Daphnia pulex: one gene and its partners. The protein of the gene in region 1 purifies or fractionates together with the protein of each later gene. This does not show direct contact. Links are inferred from orthologs where the notes say so. Each region holds a gene or a part of one and is shown in the gene's direction. Other genes may lie near its edges.

Region 1 (7,237 bases):
ACAAAAAGAAACCAGTAGCCGGAAAACAATCAACAGAAAAGGTCTTAATTGTTATTTTTGTTTTTTTGTTTTAAACAGTTGAGCGGAGGCGCAGGTTCAACATCAATGACCGGATCAAGGAGCTGGGCACTCTGCTACCGAAGAGTAACGACCCGTACGTTCATTTCCATTTCAAATGAGAATCGATATCATGTTTTATCAATTATTCAAGTGGCTCGATCATTCACTTATTATGGCATTTCATATCAATGTGATTGGTCTAATTTAATTTGATAAACAATTGATTGTCCAGAACAATTTTGATTGATGATCGGGGGACTTGCTGTAGCACTAAGTCGTTCGTCGCAAAGTTCTTCCTAGTATTTAAAAGATTATAGTGATATGTGCAGGTACTACGACTGCTTCCGCGACGTCCGCCAGAACAAGGGAGGCATCCTCAAAGCCTCGGTGGATTACATCCGCCGGCTGAGACACGACCGCGACCGTCTGGCCCAAAACGAGGCCCGACAGAGGCAGCTGGAATTGCAAAACAGGCGGCTACTGCTCCGGATCCAGCAGCTGGAACTCCAAGCCAAAACGCACGGACTGCCGCTGCCGGCTTCCGATTCGGAAGGAACCTGGACCGATCCGCACCTGACGTCGGCCCCGTTAACGCCATCCACTCCGCCTTACATCAAGACGGAGCCCCGTGACGACAACTCATTCCGAAAAGTATAAACATATTTCGCGATGAGTCCTAACAATTGAATTTATTTATGACTAAAATCAAATTTGAAATGATCAAGGTCCCCGACTTGATTCCGGAGATCGGCGGAAGTGGCCTGGCTGTCGCTTGCGAATTCTCGTCACTGGACGACTTTATGGAAGACGATTTCAACCAGGCGACCAGAGGAGATCCTCTACTTAGCAGCTCTCACGCTTCCGCCAATCAGTCTCACACTCATCTGATCGGCCATTTCGAAACCCATCCGGATGACCATCACCACCCCCACCAGGGCGGCGCCGACCTGTCGCAGGATCGCAACTACCAGCCGTCCGAAGAGGACGAATCGCTCAGTCCAGAATCGCTGGATCGTATGGAGCTGTCGGCATGATCGACGGATGTCGGGCCCGTACGACTTCCCCTTTTTTTAACTGTATCCTGCTTTTTGATTCGCGAAGAGTAGACATGGAGAATGGAGAAAAACAGGAAAATAACACGTACACAAATCAGCTATACACATGAGAATCTATCTCGACCAAGTTACAAAAAAAAAAGGTTTTCTGACCGGCACGTCAACACCAATCCATATCCTCCGCACTCTGTATACAATGAACCGCTCGCACACACGATGGATTTATTCCACCAGTTTTTTTTCTCCTTCAAACGCCAACTATATGCAAAGCAAATAATTAAATTGATGAGTGTAATTTTTTTTTTGTTGTAATTGTGTCTCTCGGGGTTAATTATTTACCGCGCTGTTCAATGTGTCGTTTTGGTTCTTAACCAAAGCGAAACCAATTCTTTTCGCTGTCATCATCACGTCAATTCTTCTTTTTGTCATTGGCTTACTGATTGTTTGTTTTCTTTTCGATTTTCCTGATTCATTTTCATTTCCTTCACACGCCAACAGAAACAAGTTAAACAAAATTGTGTGGCACTGTAGTAGCGTCATGGTGCGGGTAAATCGTATTTCGATTGGAGATTTTTATATATCGGTGTTAAATTTTCATTCTCTTCATCTCTGACAAGCCCCTCCCCCCTACCTTCCCGTGCTTTGTACAGTGTTTGGTCTATCCTCTTGTTGTTGCTGTTGTTGTGGATTGAAGGTGAAAAAAACAAAAAAAAACTACGAGTTGTTGGGATTATGATCTTTCGATAATCGAAATCTGCAAGTTTCCAAGTCGGTCAAAATAAGAATGCGGTCGGGTGATTCGTACCGATTCAAATCATATCCTCCCATTTTGCCACCCTCTTCGTTTCATGTGTCGCTGTGTACGTGTCTTAAGCATTTGAGTTTGATATATCATATAGCTGTAGAGTGTCTTCCACTATCTACCGAATGACTTGTGTGTCTGCTGTTTCATTACAATTCCTACAATAATGTGTCTCATGTAATATCTCCCTCGTTGGAATTCATCTACACTGTGCTCCTATTAACACAGCAAAGCATGACATGTATACACATGTAGTCACGCTTTCCTCATCCCCCTCCCCTCTATCTCTCTCTCTCCCTTTTCTTATATAATTATTACGTCGATGTTATATATATACCTTTGGTGCCTATGTTGTTGCCGTTGTTGCTAAATTGTGTCATATGGGGGGAACCTAACTTCTGACGAGATGTCAAAAACGAATTTAGGGGCTGAGTGTGTCGTGTTTGAAGCCGATCTATTCAGCCTCTTCAATGTGCGTTATTTCTATCAGTCGTTTGTATTAAAACAAAACACACTAGATTGCCACTGTATTGTTTTAGTTATTTTTCTTACATAACATATAGACGTCGGTCTCGTTTCTCAACAAGGTCTTTTTACCTATTGAATAATAAATAGTGACTGAATCGCATCTGTTTTGCCTTTTTTCCTTTTCTCGTTTTGAATTTCAGGATTCAGGGGTGTGTTTTGCGACGTTGCCATCTGGATTGGGTTTCCATGGAAACACATGTTTTCCTGAAAACACAATGTATGGACTAGAATATTTGAATCTCGTGACGTTTTTCGCAACCGTTTGGTTGTAATTTGGTAAAGAAATCTAAAATGACAATTTTTGTAGAAAGGTTGTTAGTTCACCTCGACGGAAAAGTTTTGGAAGACCTCGTTTCTCATTCGACTTTGAATTACACGGCTGTCATAACTGACGACAACCAGCTGTACATATTCCAGGAGGTGAGAAATACAATATGGTTCAAATATATGTAATCTACTATAAACTTTGCGTGTTATAATGGAATTTTAGAGTGCTCTTTTACATGGCTGTCCTTGGAAAAGCCCTTCTAAACTTGTATCGATCAAATGGCATCCTACTCTTGCTGTCGTCACTGTTGGTTCAGATATTGGGGAAATTTACACCCTCATCCTGGATACAAAAATTTTGAAGGAGATAAAAGTTCCAACTGTTCAAAAACACCCAGTTAGGTTTCTCTGTTGGGCAAATGAAAATCAGCTTTTAAGCCTTAATAGCGTAATGAATATATGAAAAAGTAATGGTTAATGACATTTAGACTTATTTTCATTTTTCTCTCCAATTCCTCGTAACCACAGAATGGTATTCTAACAGTCTGGAATCATTCCAAAGATAACCATTTCCAAAAGATAACTGAACATGATATAAAAGACACACCTTCTCAACTGACTTGCTTTAGATTGCCTGCACCACCTTGGGAGAGTTTCATTGGAAGCTCCTCTGGTGAGAATATTGGTTGAAATTTTTAACCTCATTAATCTGACATGTTTTCTATCAAAAATGATGTAATTCAGGTGCTATCTATCATGCTGTTCAAGATGGCCCAGCATGTACAGAAGTTGTTCGAATGGAAAAGGCCATTCAAAATATTGTCAACCATGAAGATTCTCTTTGTGTTTTAACTTCTGGTGGACTTCTTTCTGTTTTCAGAAAAAATAAATTGAAGGACGGAACTAAAGTCATTGAACTTCTAAACACGGTACATAAACAGTGCGTTTACTTATTTTTTAAACCTCTGAATAAATCAATTCCGTTTCTTCTCTCAGGTGAAAATAAGCGGGAAATCTCAATTAATTCAGCTGACGTGGTTGAATAAAAATATGATTGCTCTGACCGGTGGCGATCTGACAATCCGTTTGTGGAACTGCCAAAGCAACGATACTTTCCTCTTGCCACTGCCTGACGTAGCTGAGCTTACTCTTCACTCTGGAGCGGAACATTTCACCACACTTGCCTACCTGCCCGATAAAACCCACGCTCTCCTGTCCGCTGCGACTAATTTGGGTGGCATCGTCTTTTGGCGAGACAACAATAATCGTAACGACATTCACACTCCCGAAGATGATTGGCATTTCATCGGTCTGGTTGGCCTCTCTGGCGGTTCTATCGAACATTCCGTCTGGGGAGCAAAATATCTCTTTGTACATAATGGATCTAGCCTTTATCAAATTGTCCAGCAGCAACCATCAGTCGCTTTCAGGAACGAAGTAAATTACCGTATTTTGCAAGAAAAAAAAAAGGTTAAATATCTAAAAAAACAATTGGATTTTTCTTGTCTAGATTGGTGTCGTTCAACTTTCGTCATCTGTAGTATCCGTCCAAAGACAAACAAATTCTGTTCAGCTGGATTTACCAATAAGAATTTCCGGAATAGACTTGTGTGAGAATCACCTTTTAGTGTGGGGAGAGGCAAAAGTGGTCATTTACCAGATGGGAGTAGGTACCACCAACGAAAAACCTTTTGCAATTGGTAAGTGTTTGTCTCTTTTTATATTCGACTTTCATTACGAAATTATTCTATTTGAACGTTACAGGAAGTTTTGAATGCGAATGCTTGATGGTGCGGCTTCACAAAACAGCGTGTTTCTGTCTAGAGGGTCCGTTGATCCAAATGCGGAATTTTCAAGGATCTGTAGTGTGCCCCCCGCTATCCTTTATGGACTCGGAAGGATCTCCCGTAACGTTGGATCTCTTCGGTAACTTCTTGTGCGCATCATCGACTAGTGGCTACGTCAAGCTATGGGACGTGACTACTAGGTATGTAGCTTAATTTACTCATTGTAAGATCCTTTCGCTTGTACATAAACTATTATTTTGAATTTTAGTGATCCAAAGCTACACATAAGCACGAAAAACGTAACAGCGAATGTTGCTGGTTTTGAGCGATTCCGTTCCGTGAAAACCAACATTGATGGCTCTTGCATCTCATTTACAGTCGATGTACGTAAACCACTTATTTATTTACGAAAGTGTTAAAAACAAATTAAATTTTGAATGACAGGCAGATGAAGGACTAACCAAATTGTTCGTGTGGAGAACCACAATGAATTTGGTCGAATCCTTTAACGTAGCCGCCGAATGGCCAGAGGAGCAAGGCGTTCTCCAAGTTCATTACTGGGATGAAGATGAACCCCGGATTGTTGTTTGCCAAATCGCAGGCAAAGAGAACAGCTGTTTGGTTTCGCTTTTAGTTCCAACTGAACAGGAAGAGCTTTTGGTTCAAGACGTGGTGCCCATGACAACCGACCTCATTGGCGTCCGACTTCCTCACTACGCCATTGTGGATGAAGCGACGAAAATTCATTTGCGGTTGCTAGACAGTTTGGCCAGTCTGAACGATCACCGTGATAAGGCAGCCCGCGACGCATTGTTATCATTCAGCTGTCACCTAAGACGTGGGCGTGTGGAGCAAGCCTATCAGGCTGTGCGATCTTTTGCCAAGTAACTTGACTGTTAGCATTTTTAAAAATACATGGCTAACGACACTTTTGAATACAGTCCGAAAATATGGGAAAGCTTAGCTCGCAGCTGCGTCCAATTGAGGCGACCGGACGTCGGCCTAATTTGCTTGGGGAAATTAGGCAGCGCCAGGGCAGCTGCGGCGGTTCGATCTGCCCAGGAGAAATATTTAGGCCAAGTGGATGCAATTACAGCTGTTCTTGCCGTCCAGTTGGGCATGATAGTAAGTGGTTGAGTTAACTTTCTTTTATTCAACCCAACAATTGAATGATGTCATATTATTTTTTACAGAAAGATGCGGAAGCGATGTGCGAGCAATCTTTATGCTACGACCTTCTTAGCCGAATGTACCAGGCTTCTAACCGATGGGACGAAGCGTTGCAATTGGCCCACACTAAAGATCGAATCAACTTGAAACGGACTTACTACGAGTACGCTCGTCATCTCGAAGGCGAAGGTACGTATCTTGTTAATCTTTTTCTTGATTAGCTGCCATGATTAGGTTATAGCACTTCAAAAATAATTGATTTTCTATTTGTAGGAAATACTACGTTAGCGCTCCAAATGTACGAAAAGTGTCAAACCCATCATTTTGATGTCCCACGAATGCTATTCGAAGATACAACCGCCCTTCAGAATTATTGCACTTCCAGTCAAGACCCGTACATTTTCTAAATTTTTATTCCTCGTAAAGTGACGGGGTTATTAATCAGGTTATTGTTGTTTGCTCGGTAGAGAACGACTTCGTTGGTGGGCTCAGTTTCTGGAAAGCAGCGGAGAGATGGATACGGCGCTAGAACACTACGCCAGGGCTGGAGACTACCTTTCACTTGTGCGGCTTCATTGCTATTTGGGCGATTTGAATCGAGCGACCGAGTTGGCTGAACAGAGCCAAGACCGCGCAGCTTGCTTCCACGTCGCCCGGCAACACGAGGCTAACGATAACATTCCCGAGGCTTTGAAGTTTTTTGGCCAGGCAGCCGCCTACGGTAACGCTGTCCGTCTATGCAAAGTATGTAGTATTCATATCATTCCCCTTTTGAGAGAAAGCACACTTGACTTTTTTCTTTGTAAATAGGAACACGAACTGGATGACCAGCTGTACCGATACGCCATGCTGGGCGAACAAGAAGAAATGATTGAAGCTGCACGTTATTTTGAAGGTTCATCGGCTAACAGCGATCGCCAACCGAGATTCGATCGAGCAGTCATGCTGTACAGTAAAGCTGGACTTCTTGATACTGCCCTCGATTTGGCTTCTAGGTAATATCTTGCATGAAATGTATAACAAGTGAATGTTTGGCTTATTTTTCTTGCGCCCTTCAAAGAACGGAACAGCATGAAGCTGTATTAGAATTAGCTCGACGTTTGGACAAAAACTCGAATCCTGCATCACTGCAACGTTGTGCTGATTATTTAGCAAGTCATCGCCATTATGATGCAGCTGTAGATTTGCTTGCCATGGCAGGAAAGGTAAGATTAGAATCTCGATATTTTCTACGTCTGAATCTAAGTCTGAAAGGGAATTTATTTTACAGAATTCCGATGCAGTTGACATGTGTTTGAAATACAATGTCACGTTGACAGAAGCGTTGGCCGATCAACTCGTAAATGGGGAAAATAACAGCCGATTGCTGACTCAACTGGCTGAAGTTGCTCAACGCCAGGGTGACTACCAGTTAGCGGCAAAGAAGTTTACTCAAGCAGGAGATAAAGTAATTGATCTTTGGTTTTTATTTTTTTGTTTGATTTCTTTAACTAATGGGAAATTTGTATCTAGTATCAAGCGATGAAAGCTCTCTTAAAATCAGGCGATACAGATCGAATTGTCTTCTT
Region 2 (7,180 bases), on another chromosome or scaffold:
CAACCAGCAACAAAACACAAGTCGGTTCGGAAAGTCGAAGAAATGAGTAGATCGAGAAATGGCCACACAAAAACAAAAAAGAAACATCTGTGTTCGACCGAAAGAGAATGGGTCATAATTATGTCTATAGCAGTCACTCTGAATAGGACAATCAGCAATGGGCAAACTCGTATATGTTACGCAACCTGAAAAATGGGGAAGGGTGATGTGCCATCTGATCCGATTCTTGTCTCGAGATGACACGCTCTTGCTCGATAGATAAAATCTAGTACAGAAAGCCTCGGTCGAAATTACAGAATACCCCCAGCCCAACTAGAGGGATTGAAATGAACGGAAAGAAGCAAAGAACGAGATTTCTGTTCGCTTTCACCAGCCGTTTTCTATACGGTCAGGGGAAGCCAGAAACTATTTGAAGATGCGAGCGCTAGATTGTCAACGTCTACTACTAAGCTTGTACAGAAAATCTCGTGGACCCCAATCCTTGGTATACAACAAAGCCTTCACTAATCGGCTGACTCGACTTGTTCCCTAATATCCTCTCTCTTGTTCGTAACTGATAGCAGTCATGAACAATCCTTTTTCCCGCCGAAAACCCTGGTAGATTCCAAGAATGAGACAGAACCATTATTAAAGCACCGGTAGATCTTTAGTCAAAGTATTATACAGTAGCCTCATTATCTCGAGATTTGGAACCAGTTGCCAAGCGAAAAATCAACAGTAAAATATGGAAACCCAACGAGGCATAGGCATGATCGACTCAGATGCCCAAAGTGGATATGGCTTTTAAAAAAACCTGTAGCTGGTGATTGGGCGCATCTTCTTGCAGTGCAATCTGCAAGTCTGCGAATGTATACAGTGACATTATGCGACAGAAAGGCGATAATGAGTCGAGGGGCTATGGGAACCAGCCAAGGGCGTCATGGAACATAACCTTCGTTACGCATACTGCAACACGCCACTTCATTTGATGAATGGCAGTAGATTCAAGCCAAACCTTGACAAAAGAGCCACTAATGAGCCAACATGAAAACATTCAATCGAAAAAGTGGTTTCATTTGAAAAAGAAAATGCGGGAAATGATGACACGTTGCTAATTAACTAGTGAATAGAGTGCAATGGGGCACGAGCAGCAGAAAACGGCGCAGTTCTAAATGGCTAGCAAATGAAATGAACCAAACAAGTGAACGAACGAGGTATCTCTAACCCAGCAGCACGCAGTTTATGCAAACACGAGAGAGCACAAGAACACGGTATGAACTGAGTCCCATTTCTTTCGCGCATAACAGCCGAGATCAAAACATACGACAATTCCTTTTGAATTGATTTTTAATTTAAATATTCCTCGTCCAAGTGGGCTCCGTTATCCGACAAAATTTAGATTCAGTTCACCATGAATTAGAAAATCCTCACATTCAACTTCGACGTGGCATCCCAGTAGAAACATGTAAAACAAAGAATTCATGGAAAGTACGGCTAGGCTTGCTTATGTGGGATAATGACGAAATAATATTAATAGAACCACGAGGATGAAAATGTTTTTTTTTTTTGTAGTTTGTTAAATGCCTAAAACACTCCAAAATTAATTCCAACTAAATATTTTCCTTTAAAAAACTGTAAGTAAGAAAAAATGGAGGAAGACTCTGAAACTTCTCTTTGGCAAATAGCCTAAGACTTACAACATAGCTGTTGCAAATAACACAGTTGATAACCTTCTTCTAGATTTAAAGATGGAAATCTGGAAAGTCGATTTCAATGACAAGTTTTAATATCTTTCATCTGCACAGGTAACTACATACCTAACAAAGTAACAATGAATGTTTTTCTAAACTTTTAGGGACAAATAATAATTCCTTAATTTCATGAAAATCTATTTGAGCCAGACGATATTAGGAATGCAATCAAAACCACTAGATTCCTCGTTACAAGTCTACAACAACCATAACAAAACAATAAGGTTGAACAAGATAACTCGAATACTACTGATCATGACTCCATAACACAAACAACAAATAATTCTTTTGAATAGCATTTAGTCTATGTTTTACTGTGAAGGATTTTAAGTCTTTCTGTAGCTGACACTTTGTCTCTAGACTTTCGATTCTTTAGACTATTTTATATCGAATACGTCGAAAACCGATTGGCACACGATAAAACATTGAATGTTTGACGAATTCTTACTTGGAGATTCCGTTGTCCTTGTAAAGAAGTTGGCAGGAGGAGATTCGCAGTAGATAAAACCACTATTTTTCAAATATGTCTGAACGATGAGAACGTAGTTGATGTTGTTGGTTGATGGAATGATGGGTCAACACAACAACTACTTGTCTGCTTCCGTATCGATAGACTGCTCGATTATTTTTTAGTTGTCTGCTTCGGTCTGCTTACTTTCAACAAAATTTCTAAATTTGAAACTTTTTAATATTCTGTTACAATCATAGTTTATTTTTATGCAGTTTTTTCAATAAATTAAAAATTAATCTCATCTAGAAAAATCGTTATTTTCCATTCACAACAACCAAAATGGCAAAATGCTTTTTAGAAAATTTTTCTCTTAGGGTGCTGCCAGGGACCTCTAACGGCGGCCATGTAAACAAGTGAGAAAACGTTTGTTTACAAAGTGATTGCTTGGTAACGAGAGTACTTTCAAAAAAACATATACAGATGGATAATTAAACGACAAATAATCATGCACCTTAACACCGAAAAGGTATTCAGGCCCGTAAAGTTTATGTCTTGTTCGTGAAATTAATTTCTTCCCTTATCTATCAGTTGATATTGAGTTTGAAGGCCCCTGTCGGCGTTGGAACCGTAAAATTAGAATGGCAAACACACGATGGTACTCTCTGGGCAGCTACTGGCTCAAACCGCACCGTACATATATATGACCACTTTGGAAACCAAAAATCTGTGATCACAATGCCTGGGTATAGCTACTGGAACCACATGGTTTGATTTTATTGCTCACAAATACTTTTATTGTTGACAGGTCCTGCACAGGATTTGGCTGGGATTGTGAGGGTGACTTCTTTGCAGCTATTAATGATAGCAGCTCCTTTCTTTACATGTGGAACTCAACTAGCCTTAAAACTGAGAAGATTGAAACTGGTTTGAGAGATCCACTCAGTTTCATGGCTTGGGGCAAAAGTGGTCTTTTCCTAGCAATTGGTACATCAAAGGGAAATGTTCTTTTATACAATCAAAGGGCTGGACGGAAAATTCCAGTTCTAGGAAAACATAGCAAGCGAATTGTAACAGGAGCATGGAGTTCAGACAATCTCCTGGCTCTGGGATCTGAAGATAAAACTCTATCAGTTAGTACCTTGGAAGGTGACACTGTCCACACAGCTAGCCTAAGAAATGAGCCCTCTCAAATCCAGTTTTCTGAAATGAAAGAAGATGAACGTTCAACAGCAGAGAGCACGGTATTGAATGCGATCTAATTTCTGAACAAGAAGAAACCCGCTTCATATTATTATTTTTTTTTTTTTTGCCATTGTATAGATCAGTGCTGTGGTGGGTCGTCGCACGTTAATTCTAATCAACATTAATAACGCAGAAAACCCGTTAGAATTAGCTTTTCAGCAAAATTATGGTAACATCACAACATATCGATGGTTTGGTGACGGATATATTCTGATCGGTTTTTCCGGAGGATACTGCATCGCAATTTCCACCCATTTGAAGGAGATAGGACAAGAACTCTTTCAGATACGGAACCATCGAGACATGGTCTCATCTATATCTATCTGTCCGTCACTAAATCGGGCTGCTTGTTCTGGTGATAACAAGTAATAATAACATATACGTAGCATTAATTCAAAGACCTCAAATAATTTGTTTGCTGATTTTTCTTGTTGAAACAGTGCCAGAATTTACGATTTACTTGATTTAAAAGAAACTGTGTCAGTCATTTCTGTTGAAGAAGAGAATCGAATTGATTGCTGTGCGTGGAGTAATGACGGTCGTCTTCTGGCCATCACAGGTACTATATTAGCTTCTTCAATCTTTCTGCTGCTATGTAATACTGTGATAGTGCATGTTTATATTACATGGCAACATGTAACAGTATTCAATTTAACCTACCTACCCTACCTAACAACCCTTTGGTTAATTAAATTTCCATAGGTAGTTCCGGTAACGTCTACATCTACCTTACTCGTCTGAATATGCTAGCATCGGTTTGGCAGCCTTTCGGCACTATTGCTGTACTCACCAGTCTTAAAGAGGTAGGATCTAAAATATGAATAGTCTGTTATAACTCACTGTTACACTACATTTTGCGTGTGACTGCCGTATTTCTCAATTCAGGTGACTGTGTACGACGTTGCACTTAATACCATCTGCAATGTGCAGTGTGAGTTGGAGCCTGTATTTTTGGCCTGTGGTCCGAAAGCCATTGTACTTGGGTAAACTTATATTATCTAATAAATCATAGTTATAATACTAATTAGAAAACTATTGATCATGATATAGTTTGAACAATCACGTCTGGCTTTACTCTGCGGTCAATGGTCATTTACAACGGAAGTTGCAGTATGCGGGCTCGGTCGAATCGATTTGTTTAAATGAAACACACGTTGCGGCCTTGGTAGATGGCAAAGTTCATTTGCAGCTTGTGAGTTTTCCCCATTAAATTCCATTTCAAATTATTTTATAACTAGTTTTTAATCCATTATTAGATAGAAGAAGCTTCTTTTTCGAGTGACGGAGGAAATGGTCTGATGGATAGCGGTGTATTTCCCTTGCGTGAATCCTCTACAGCCAAGATCGGGAGTCATGCGTTGGCTAAGGATTGTCTCGTCTACGTTACAAGCGTAAGATAATCTAAAAGTGGTCACTTTATTTATTATCTCACCACAATTGCAACGGAAATATAAGGTGGGCGATTTGGTGTACTTTTCGCTGAGTGAGCGGAAACCTGTCAGTGAATATCGCCATGCAGTTGGTTGGAAAAAGATCTATCATGATACATCAGGAACACTTCTAGCCGCTGTGGATATAAAAAATCACGGCTACCTTTACTCTCCGGTATCGGGAAAATGACAAAAACCGCCTCATCTACTTGTCTACTTACACTTGTTTTTATCACTTAGGTCAAGGAAATTTTGTTAAGGATTCCCGATTTCCCAGTTCATCATCGTGGCTTACTTTGGGAGTCGGCAAGTCGGATTAGTCACGTGTTTGTGGCTTGGAGTGACGAGAAGCTTGACGTCTTTGTCTATCACGCCGAGAGACTTACTGGTTTGTTTTTAAAAAAAGATATAATTTTTAAAAATTGATGCGTTGCTATTCTTACACCCATGCACTTTGTTCACTCTAAAGGGAGTTGCATCATACGACTTTGTTCTTCACCTCTAGCAAGTGGCCATACTCCTCTCCTACTTCAAGGACCAGATCTTTTGTTACTTACCGCCTCCTCCAAGTTGACGACACTTTTCATTCCCGAACTTGGGATTGGCTCCAACGGCAAATTGTCGTCGTTGTCCCGCAATGAGTTATTAAATGCGTTGCAGTTCTCCTTGGCGATGGGAAAGTAATAAGAGAGGCTGTTCTTCCTTGATGTACGATTGAAATTTGATTAAGAGAATTTTATTTTCAGATATGAAGATGCGTGGGATATTGGAATTCTACTGGCAGATTCGAATCAGTGGGTCAAAGCAGCTAATGCAGCCCTTAACGATTTTCGCCTAGATTTTGGTAAAATTTTATTTGTTAACTTTTCCGTCGATAAATCCAAACACGATTTTTATTCATTGATATATTTTTTCCATAGCAATTAGAATCTACCGCCATCTGGGCGATATATCCCTGGTATGGTCTTTGGAAGAAATCCAGCATGTTGAAGACCTTCAGTTGCTCTCTGGGCACATTTATATGATTTTGGGAAACTTAGAAAAAGCTCAAGTACGTCGGAATATTTCGTTTAAATTTTTTGATCTGCTGCTGATGAAATTATTATTTTGGTTTGTAAAAAGGATTGTTATTTGAAGTCTTCGCAGCCTGAGATTGCCATCGACATGTACACCGATGTTATGGAATGGGAGCAAGCCTTGCTTTTAGCTGAAAAACTAGCTCCGCACAAGATCGGCGTAATAGCTCGAGAATATGCTCAGCAGCTGGAACAAACGTAAGAATTCATGAATTATTTCTGGCCATTAAATATTGTTAACAAACCAACGTAATTGGTTAGGGGCGACTTCGTTCATGCTCTCTTGTACTATGAGCGTGCTATGAGTGCAGGAGTTGAAAACGGGCCGGATCAGGCTGAACACCAACGTATCTGCCAATCGGGAATTTCTCGAAGCGCTGTTGGATCTGGCGATATTCGTAAAGGGATTTCTCTTGCCGTTCAATCCAACGATCGTGTTCTAATGAAACAGTGCGCCGCTATACTGGAGGACAATAAGGTTTGTTTTCTTCCTAAATTGTCAATGAATTACCAAGAAACTTGTCCATATTGTCTTTGGTTATCTTGCAATCGCAGTATTTCTTGGAAGCAGCTGAACTGTATGAGACTGCTGGCAACAAAGACCAGGCTGCTTTACTGTATACTCGTTTGAAAAATTGGTCTCAAGTGAGCAAGCTCATTCAATATGTGACGCAACCTAAAGTTCACATCGCCTATGCAAAGGTAAATTTATAGATTTTCTGTGTGTATCGATATTTAATCTCCCAATTTCACAGGCCAAGGAGTCGCAAGGGCAGTATAAAGAAGCGCTTAGTTCATACGAGCTGGCAGGTGATTTTGAAAGTGCAATCTTACTTTGTCTTAATCAACTACATAGTCCACAAGATGCTGTGCGAATTGCACGAAGATCCAAAAGCACAGAGGGAGCCAAATTGATTGGAAAGTAAGGGATCTCGACCGATTATGTAGATTTTCATTGACAATATTTTTAATATCAAATTTTTTGGTTTTAGGTTCTTTATGGAACTGGGTGACTATACCACAGCTTTAGAATACCTAGTTATGTCAAAGAACTACGAAACGGCATTTGAAGTTGCCCGTCAAAACGGTCAGATTCAACTTTTTGCCGACATTCTGGGAGATCAGGCGTCACGGGAGGACCTCAACAAAATTGCTTTGCACTATGAACAAGAACGTAATTTCTTGCTCGCTGGAAAGTATTATGCTTTGGCTGGTCAGAATGAAAAGGTGATTTCAGTGAACAGCTACTCC
Region 3 (7,398 bases), about 6.4 Mb from region 1:
CTCAGAGACAAACATTATATACGCTCACACAAGCTCTGGGTGGCGCGCAGAAATGATTTAACATTTTTTTTATTTTTATTTTTTTCAAAAACTGGTTTTTTGGCGCGGTTTGAAATTAAATTTTGGCCAGCGGGGAAAAGAACACGGAGACGGGGGCGTGACGTCATCTGGGCGATATCAAGTTGGACTGCGCTTATAGAAACTTTGTGTGAGCTTTGTGTGAAAAATATATGATCACGTCAAAATGGCCGCAGCTCTTGTTATAGTTGATTTCCATAAAAGAATCGTTTGATATATTCATACAGAGCGACCGTAGCGACGACCAATATAACTAACCCCGCCATGCCTATATGTAATATAAATAATCTCCGTCGTGTCTTGTGTAAACCCCGATAGATCGATAGTAATAACTTCCAATCATCAGCTGACCCCAGTGAACAAATAACCGAAGAAAAATAAATTTTGTCCAGGGGATGAATATAAAGAAAAGACGCGATCATCAATCGGCTTTCCAGATAACCAACTCCCCCAGCAGGTGGTTATATCTATTTAACTCTCTCTACAGACGTGATGCGCTTGAGCATGGTATAGGTTATTATATGTAGCACACACACATAATAATATCTGGGTTGTCAATACATTAAATGTTTTTTCTCCCCCCTCCTTTGGTTTCAAACTGGACGCAATATAATCAAAATAAAAATTTTTTTTCTCAGATTTCTTTTATATGCTGCCCTTTTCTGTTTGATCATTCAATGATGAATAGCCACCGGTGTAGATGGTAGTAGCCTCTACAAGAACGAACAACTCCCCCCATCGAGTTGTTGGGGGATAGACCGGGGGTCGAAACACTCCCTTTACAGAAGGTAAAAAAATAAATTCAAATATTTTATCAAAAAATAATAAGAATGGTAGGGAAAACTAGACGTAGTACAGTCCCCGTGGAGAGCTGGTAATGAATCCTATAAATCCTTCGATATATATATAGTATAACTCGTCCCTCACAACATTTACGACGACGTCCTATATATGCGTATCCCCTTTTACGTTGTTGAATGCTGCTGTGGGGGGCTCCACCCTGATAGTTTTTTAGAAATATTCAAATCTAACGGAGACCCAGCTATTAAAAAAAATGTATCAAATTTGAGCCTGTCAAGTTATTGTAATTTCGAAATTCTTGGACGACGCTAAATCAGCTGATGTGGAGGTGACTAACTGTTATAATCACATTAATAACACCAGGAATGAAAGGATTTCAAATTTTTTTTCCCCTGAAAGAATTTCGACCTTGGCATAGCCACACAGCCACACGGGTCGTTACCAAATTAACTGCTTGCCCAGGTTCCAAAAAAGAAACTATAATTGCTGTGTGCTCTTTTAGCTCTATCTTATACATCTATCTACTATTTTTTTTGACGGGAGAGGGGAACTTCTCTTATAAGTAGACACATTGTTGTGTTGTATGTGTCCATTGCTCTGGCCAGCCAGCACAGGTTATATTTATACACATCAACTAAAAGGGCGATATATAGATGTATAGATAGACCTTTCTCCTTCTCGTGTTTTTTTGCGGATAGTTTTGTGGAGCGCGAGCGCCGAGAGTCGCTTGTTGCCGTGTTAATTAATCGCCAGGTTCTTCTTCTTCTTCTTCTGGTTGAGGAGTATCGTCTCCAGGAGTTTTTTTCTTTGTCGGCGAAAAGGAAAAAAAAAAGGCGAAAAGAATCAGAAATAAAACACAAGCGGCGAAAGGGACCCCCCTTCTATACCACCTTCTATATTATCCTCCCACCCAATTCCACCTTTAGAACTTTTTTGTCCATATTGACCGCGGTTGAGCACATCAAGTTTGGAAAAAACTTTTTTGTTTCGGATAGATTCAAAAGTTTTTGGCTTTTCTTTGTGTCTTGTCCCAACACGAAAGCACCGCCCCCCTTGTGAAGAAATGAGACCTTTTTTTTTCTTTGGTGTTGTACGAAAATTTTTCGTTTTAAAATGGTGGGGGGATGGTGAGAAAAGCAATGAGGAAATTTGAGATAAGAGTCGCCTTTTTTTAAATTATCGATTCCAATAGCCGTCATTAAAAAAATAAGAAAAGAAACAAAAGGGAAGAAAGCAGAAGACCCATTTGCCCTTAATCAGTAAAAGGTCGATGATTATGTCTGACTATTTATGCTGTCCGGCTGTTGGATTGTGAAGGAAAGAAAAAAGGAAATTGGGAAAGTCTCCTTCTTTCGGACTGTTAAACAGATGGCTCGAATGTGCCATTTTAACAAGGAGAGAGAGTGGAGTGTGCTATCGGTCGTAGTTTTTTTTCGCCGACCTTGATTGGATATTTTCGAGCTTTTTTTTTAAATAATAAGGAGCCGATTCGTTACGCGAGATTATATAGACACGGGGAAATGAGTCGGGTTTTGAATTTGACATCATTTAGCGCTCTGCCACGCCATCTACTAGTAGAAAAAGGAACAAAATGTGTTTGCACGAATTGGTTTTTTATTTGAATTCAGGAATCGAGCTATGCTTTTCGTTTTTTTTTTTACTTTGGAATAAATTATTTAGTTTAAGTGACAAGTTAAAAGAGGGTTGGTTTGCAAAATGGAAAGATTAGAAATTACTTTAATCCTCGAAAACAGAAAATGATATGAATTATGTGCTCATTTTTCTTCGTTATGGTCGTGATGGTTCGATTAATTAACTTCACGTTTACGGATGAATTGGAATCATTTGGCACCTTTTCACGTCATGTATCAAAAGTTTCGTGACAAGATTGAAACGCTTCCAGACTTGTCCGTCGAATCGTTGGCGTCGAGTTACCAACAAAACAAAACAACTTAACAATATGTCGTTTCATTCAACCAGCCAAACAGCCAACTGTTAAATTCGATCAAGTAAAAATGGTGCCAAAAGTGAACCACGTTTTGACTTTATCATATCATCTAACGACACTAGTATTACATGAGTAACATGACCTTATCAACAGAAACACTGTTTCATTCTTTAAAAGGTAAGATTTCTTAGAAATATAAACCTTTTTGTGAAATCCAATTACTGTTTATTTTTGTGCACAAGGACAATGACTATTGTGTAGCTTTTGCTAAAAATGTAAAACGCTTTGCTTCTGGGGGGGTGCTGACAAGAATGTCATCATTTGGACTGGTGGCCTGGAAATGATTCTAAAATACTTGTAAGTAGCAATTTATTGGAAATATGGAAATCAGAATGATTGTTGTTACCATTTCTTGTTTCAAGTCAGAATCTTTTTCAGTCACAATGTTTACAATTCAATGTGTTTCTTGGTAATCCAATCACACCCCTCTAGCTATTCTAATTTGCAATGTCAGTTGCTCCTCTAATGACCTTTGATTATTCTGATTTTTTATTGATAACCAGAGCAGAAGAATATCCAAAAATCTGCAGTCTTTTTCTTGGAATTATGACAAATAATAACATGGGAATCCTGTTGGCTTTAGCCCTTAGGTTTGGCCAAGGGTCCATCTGAAACAGCATTTACACTGGGGTATAAATAAACATTGGCATTTTCAGCTTCCTGATAATTTACAATTTGTTTTCTAGTCTGGAGACTGGAGGTGAAAAATCTAAAATTGAAAGACCTGGAGGCAATCAGTCACCGGCATGGGCCTTGTGCTGAAACAATAACAGGTACATATTATTTAAATAATGCTACTTATGCTACTTGTTATTCTTTTTAATACATCTTGTAGAACTAACTAAGCTGACATGCATCTAGTTATGACAAGAAACAATTGTCGGAACAATTGCGTGTTGGGTTTGCAACATCAATAAGCGGATAGCTGTGTTCTCGGATGCATGACCAGTTGGCCACATGATATTCTTTAGAACCAAATTGCCAAAAGGTCATCAATAGATCGCAGAAGGCAGAGCTACCAGAAGGTTGGGAATGATTCCACCTGAAGGTCAAGATCTTTACGTAAAAGTACGCAGAGAACCGGAGACCCAAGTGCCAATCAACCTCTGCTTCATCATCATGTCTTCATCGTTATTGCGCGTATCTAAAAAAAAATCTGGTAAACAACTCTTTTTGTCATTTTCTCGTATCAATTGGTTCTCTAATTTTATTTATTGTTAATTGAAATAAGGACATGAGTGAAGTGTTTCAAGTCTCTTCACGTCCGACGCATTGAATTTGTTGTAAAAAAACACGTGTGTAAAGAATCAATAAGTGATCCATTTTCCGTTGGTCCAGAAATGGGCAACATTCCATTTGATCAAATTCGTAAGTTATATTGATACCATTGTTTACAGGAGTTAATTAATTTTCTTAATTATTTAGCTTGTGAGATACTAGAAGCAAATCATCACAATTTTGTTATTCTACGACTCTCCGAATGAAAACCAAATCCTTAAGCATCTGATAGCTCGCTAGTGCGGTCCTTCCAAGTGATCTGAAACTTTTTGATCTGTAATTAGTCAGATCCCCAGTAATTTTTAATGTAGTCGTTACCTGTAGTTAACGTGCTTAATTGTTTTTTGTTGATAATTAATTTCATGTCGGCTGAAAATTGTGACGTTATCCAGTGGTAGTAGGCCTATTTTGAAATCCTTTAAATTGAAAAAAACTAGAATTACTGAATAATTTTATACAAGGTGTAGCAGAAGAAAGCGACGAAAATTTTATACTTTTTATTTTACAGAAACTCGTATGTTAATTTAAGGCAAGGATTTGAATTTGGATCATTTAGCGCGTTTTTCACGCCATCTAGCAGAAGCATTTTGTACGACGACAAGATTCATAATTGCTTTGAGACTTCGAGTCGTTGCCCTGGTGATCGTTGTTAACAAACAAAAAGTTTCAACCACCTATCTGTCAGATTCGATCGAGTAAACCAATAGTAAACACGTTTTGAATGATCTAATGTCAGCTTAACCTGATATGTAAATCGGAATTCCAGTTATAATGAGAACAGTGCCTATCTGGGTGGACAAGGTCCATACCCGCGATAATTCAGAGCAACAGTAAGTGTTATGATTGATTCCTATTGATATCTCTTTATCATTCATTCATTTGTATGCGTTAACGGTCTAACGTGAATACATTAACATTTTACAGGATATACGATCTGTGCTTCAGCGCTGATGGTACTCAACTGATTGCTGCAGCAGGGAACAAAGTGCTTGTGTATGAGGCCTTAACAGGCACACTGCTTCATTCTTTAAAAGGTAAGGTGTCTTAAATCGAAAACTTTCCTGTTAAATCCTTATACTACCATCTATTTTAGGGCACAAGGATATTGTGTATTGTGTAGCCTTTGCTAAAGATGGAAAGCGCTTTGCTTCTGGTGGTGCTGACAAGAATGTCATCATTTGGACGGGTGGCATGGAAGCCATTCTCAAATATTCGTAAGTAGTAATTAGCTAAAAATGTAGGAATCAAAATTATTGTTTTGATTTCATATTCCACAATAGGCACAATGAAACAATTCAATGTGTGTCCTACAATCCAGTTAGCCCTATTCTTGCCAGTTGCTCCTCTAATGACTTTGGTTTGTGGAGTCCTGAGCAGAAGAATGTCCAAAAATACAGAGTCAGTTCACGAGTGTGTTCTTGTTCTTGGAATGATGATGGAACCCTGCTAGCCTTAGGTTTGGCCAATGGCACAATATCCATCCGAAACAGAGTATACACAAAAATTGACATTTTAAACTTCATGATAACTCATAACTCTTGAATTTTAGTCTGGAGATGAAAAATCTAAAATTGAAAGACCAGGAGGCAATCAGTCACCAGTATGGGCCTTGTGCTGGAACATCAACAGGTACATATTATTTATATAATGCTAATTTAATTCCCTCTCGTCATTTAAAAACAATCTCTTTTGGTAGGACTGACCAAGCAGAAATGCTTTGTGTCACGGATTGGGGTAACAGAACGTTATCCTTCCACCTCCCCAACGGAAAACAAGTATGAGTATATCAGATATCATTGTTTCAACAAGTGCTTTCCTCTAAAAATTTAATGTTATTGTATGAATTTACTAGATCCGTTCGGAGAAACCTTTGGGTTTCAACGCTTGCCGAATAGTTCCTTATCGTCACGCTGGTGGTGACTATCTGCTTGTCTGTGGATCCAACCGACAGTGTCAGCTCTTTAGTAGCGAAGGATATGCTCTTGGTCCCATAGCTGAGTGTAGCAAGTGGGTCTGGGCGACGGCAACCAAACAAAACAGCACAGTTGTGGTAAGCCATTCAAAATTTTGACATATTAAAATTTTTAAACGTTAAAATTCTTATCCGTTGCTTGTAGGCCGTTGGCAGTGAAGACGGAACAGTCGGTTGTCACCAGCTGATATTTAGCACCGTTCACGGTCTCTATAAAGAACGCTACGCATTCAGGTATTGCTAAATAAGGATCGTGTGAATGGGCTTAATTTACAATGCCGTTTTACTTTGTTATTTCGAAAAATAGAGAACATCTGACAGACGTGGTAGTCCACCACTTACTGACGGAGGAAAAAGTGCGCATCTGTTGCCGTGACCTTATCAAGAAAATCGCCATCTACAAAAATCGCTTAGCGGTATGTCGTGCAATGGCAGGAATATGTGACCGGATGATGATGTCTTGTTATTGTTGGATTCTTCTAGGTCCAGCTGCAAGAAAAACTCATGATTTACGAGCAACAGGAAGGCGAACAGCTGCACTATGTCATCAAGGAAAAAATCAGCCAGAATTTCGAATGCAGCCTTATGGTCATTTGTACCAACCACATCATTCTGTGTCACGTAAATCTTTTATATGATTTTCTTTGCAAAATTTTTATCTAACGTATCACATCTGTCTGGTATTTTGTTTTGTTTCGTTCAGGAAAAGAAACTGCAGTCGGTGAACTTTCAGGGCGTCAAGGAACGCGAGTGGACGTTAGATTCACCCGTGCGCTACATAAAAATCGTCGGCGGACCGGCCAACAAAGAGGGTCTCCTGCTAGGCTTGAAGAATGGCCAGGTGTCCAAAATATTTTTAGATAACCCTTTCCCGGTGGAGTTGCTCAAGATCAGTGTCCCTATCCGCTGCCTGGACTTGAGCTCTTCACGCCAAAAGGTGGCCATTGTAGATGACAACAATACCTGCTCCGTCTATCAATTGAGCAACAGTGAATTGATTTCTCAGGTAGTTCCAAAACTTTTTCCCAGATTACAACAGAATAATAACCTAAATTGTGAATGTAGGAGCCACATGCTAATAGCGTCGCTTGGAACATTCATTGCGAAGATATGCTTTGCTTTTCGGGTCAGAACTGGTTGAACATCAAAGCATCGAATTTTCCCTGTCACCAGCAAAAGTTTCAAGGCTACGTCGTGGGATTCTACGGCGCCAAAATATTTTGCTTGCAGGGATACAGCATGACCACCCTTCAGGTGCCTC

What was found.
Region 2: the proteins of intraflagellar transport protein 140 homolog (region 1) and WD repeat-containing protein 19-like purify together in Homo sapiens (co-immunoprecipitation; 3 studies listed by BioGRID and IntAct, with this or other methods). This does not show direct contact. The link is inferred for Daphnia pulex from reciprocal best matches to the Homo sapiens genes IFT140 and WDR19.
Region 3: the proteins of intraflagellar transport protein 140 homolog (region 1) and intraflagellar transport protein 122 homolog purify together in Homo sapiens (affinity purification with mass spectrometry; 4 studies listed by BioGRID and IntAct, counting the BioPlex papers as one, with this or other methods). This does not show direct contact. The link is inferred for Daphnia pulex from reciprocal best matches to the Homo sapiens genes IFT140 and IFT122.

Annotation. Positions count from the first base shown.
Region 1 is NC_060023.1:8,882,804-8,890,040, reverse strand, and holds the start of intraflagellar transport protein 140 homolog, read left to right. Parts: upstream 1-2,622; 5' UTR 2,623-2,736; coding exon 2,737-2,865; intron 2,866-2,935; coding exon 2,936-3,160; intron 3,161-3,240; coding exon 3,241-3,385; intron 3,386-3,456; coding exon 3,457-3,641; intron 3,642-3,708; coding exon 3,709-4,149; intron 4,150-4,222; coding exon 4,223-4,412; intron 4,413-4,476; coding exon 4,477-4,699; intron 4,700-4,767; coding exon 4,768-4,882; intron 4,883-4,943; coding exon 4,944-5,383; intron 5,384-5,440; coding exon 5,441-5,624; intron 5,625-5,692; coding exon 5,693-5,858; intron 5,859-5,942; coding exon 5,943-6,063; intron 6,064-6,136; coding exon 6,137-6,413; intron 6,414-6,479; coding exon 6,480-6,664; intron 6,665-6,729; coding exon 6,730-6,874; intron 6,875-6,939; coding exon 6,940-7,116; intron 7,117-7,181; coding exon 7,182-7,237. Other genes in the region: uncharacterized protein LOC124197929, read left to right, coding at 79-154, 378-711, 786-1,094. UniProt on the Homo sapiens protein: Component of the IFT complex A (IFT-A), a complex required for retrograde ciliary transport and entry into cilia of G protein-coupled receptors (GPCRs).
Region 2 is NC_060017.1:216,622-223,801, reverse strand, and holds the start of WD repeat-containing protein 19-like, read left to right. Parts: upstream 1-2,547; 5' UTR 2,548-2,686; coding exon 2,687-2,707; intron 2,708-2,769; coding exon 2,770-2,924; intron 2,925-2,986; coding exon 2,987-3,422; intron 3,423-3,501; coding exon 3,502-3,788; intron 3,789-3,863; coding exon 3,864-3,982; intron 3,983-4,125; coding exon 4,126-4,226; intron 4,227-4,308; coding exon 4,309-4,406; intron 4,407-4,473; coding exon 4,474-4,615; intron 4,616-4,679; coding exon 4,680-4,814; intron 4,815-4,878; coding exon 4,879-5,028; intron 5,029-5,093; coding exon 5,094-5,241; intron 5,242-5,322; coding exon 5,323-5,533; intron 5,534-5,599; coding exon 5,600-5,697; intron 5,698-5,773; coding exon 5,774-5,904; intron 5,905-5,975; coding exon 5,976-6,127; intron 6,128-6,190; coding exon 6,191-6,407; intron 6,408-6,484; coding exon 6,485-6,631; intron 6,632-6,684; coding exon 6,685-6,851; intron 6,852-6,921; coding exon 6,922-7,156; intron 7,157-7,180. UniProt on the Homo sapiens protein: As component of the IFT complex A (IFT-A), a complex required for retrograde ciliary transport and entry into cilia of G protein-coupled receptors (GPCRs), it is involved in cilia function and/or assembly.
Region 3 is NC_060023.1:2,445,332-2,452,729, reverse strand, and holds the start of intraflagellar transport protein 122 homolog, read left to right. Parts: upstream 1-2,728; 5' UTR 2,729-3,004; exon of another isoform or gene 3,005-3,069; 5' UTR 3,070-3,184; intron 3,185-3,390; 5' UTR 3,391-3,517; intron 3,518-3,573; 5' UTR 3,574-3,660; intron 3,661-3,722; 5' UTR 3,723-4,046; intron 4,047-4,118; 5' UTR 4,119-4,255; intron 4,256-4,312; 5' UTR 4,313-4,936; coding exon 4,937-4,995; intron 4,996-5,089; coding exon 5,090-5,199; intron 5,200-5,258; coding exon 5,259-5,379; intron 5,380-5,445; coding exon 5,446-5,656; intron 5,657-5,714; coding exon 5,715-5,794; intron 5,795-5,861; coding exon 5,862-5,940; intron 5,941-6,017; coding exon 6,018-6,215; intron 6,216-6,282; coding exon 6,283-6,371; intron 6,372-6,444; coding exon 6,445-6,553; intron 6,554-6,620; coding exon 6,621-6,758; intron 6,759-6,840; coding exon 6,841-7,143; intron 7,144-7,202; coding exon 7,203-7,398. UniProt on the Homo sapiens protein: As a component of the IFT complex A (IFT-A), a complex required for retrograde ciliary transport and entry into cilia of G protein-coupled receptors (GPCRs), it is required in ciliogenesis and ciliary protein trafficking.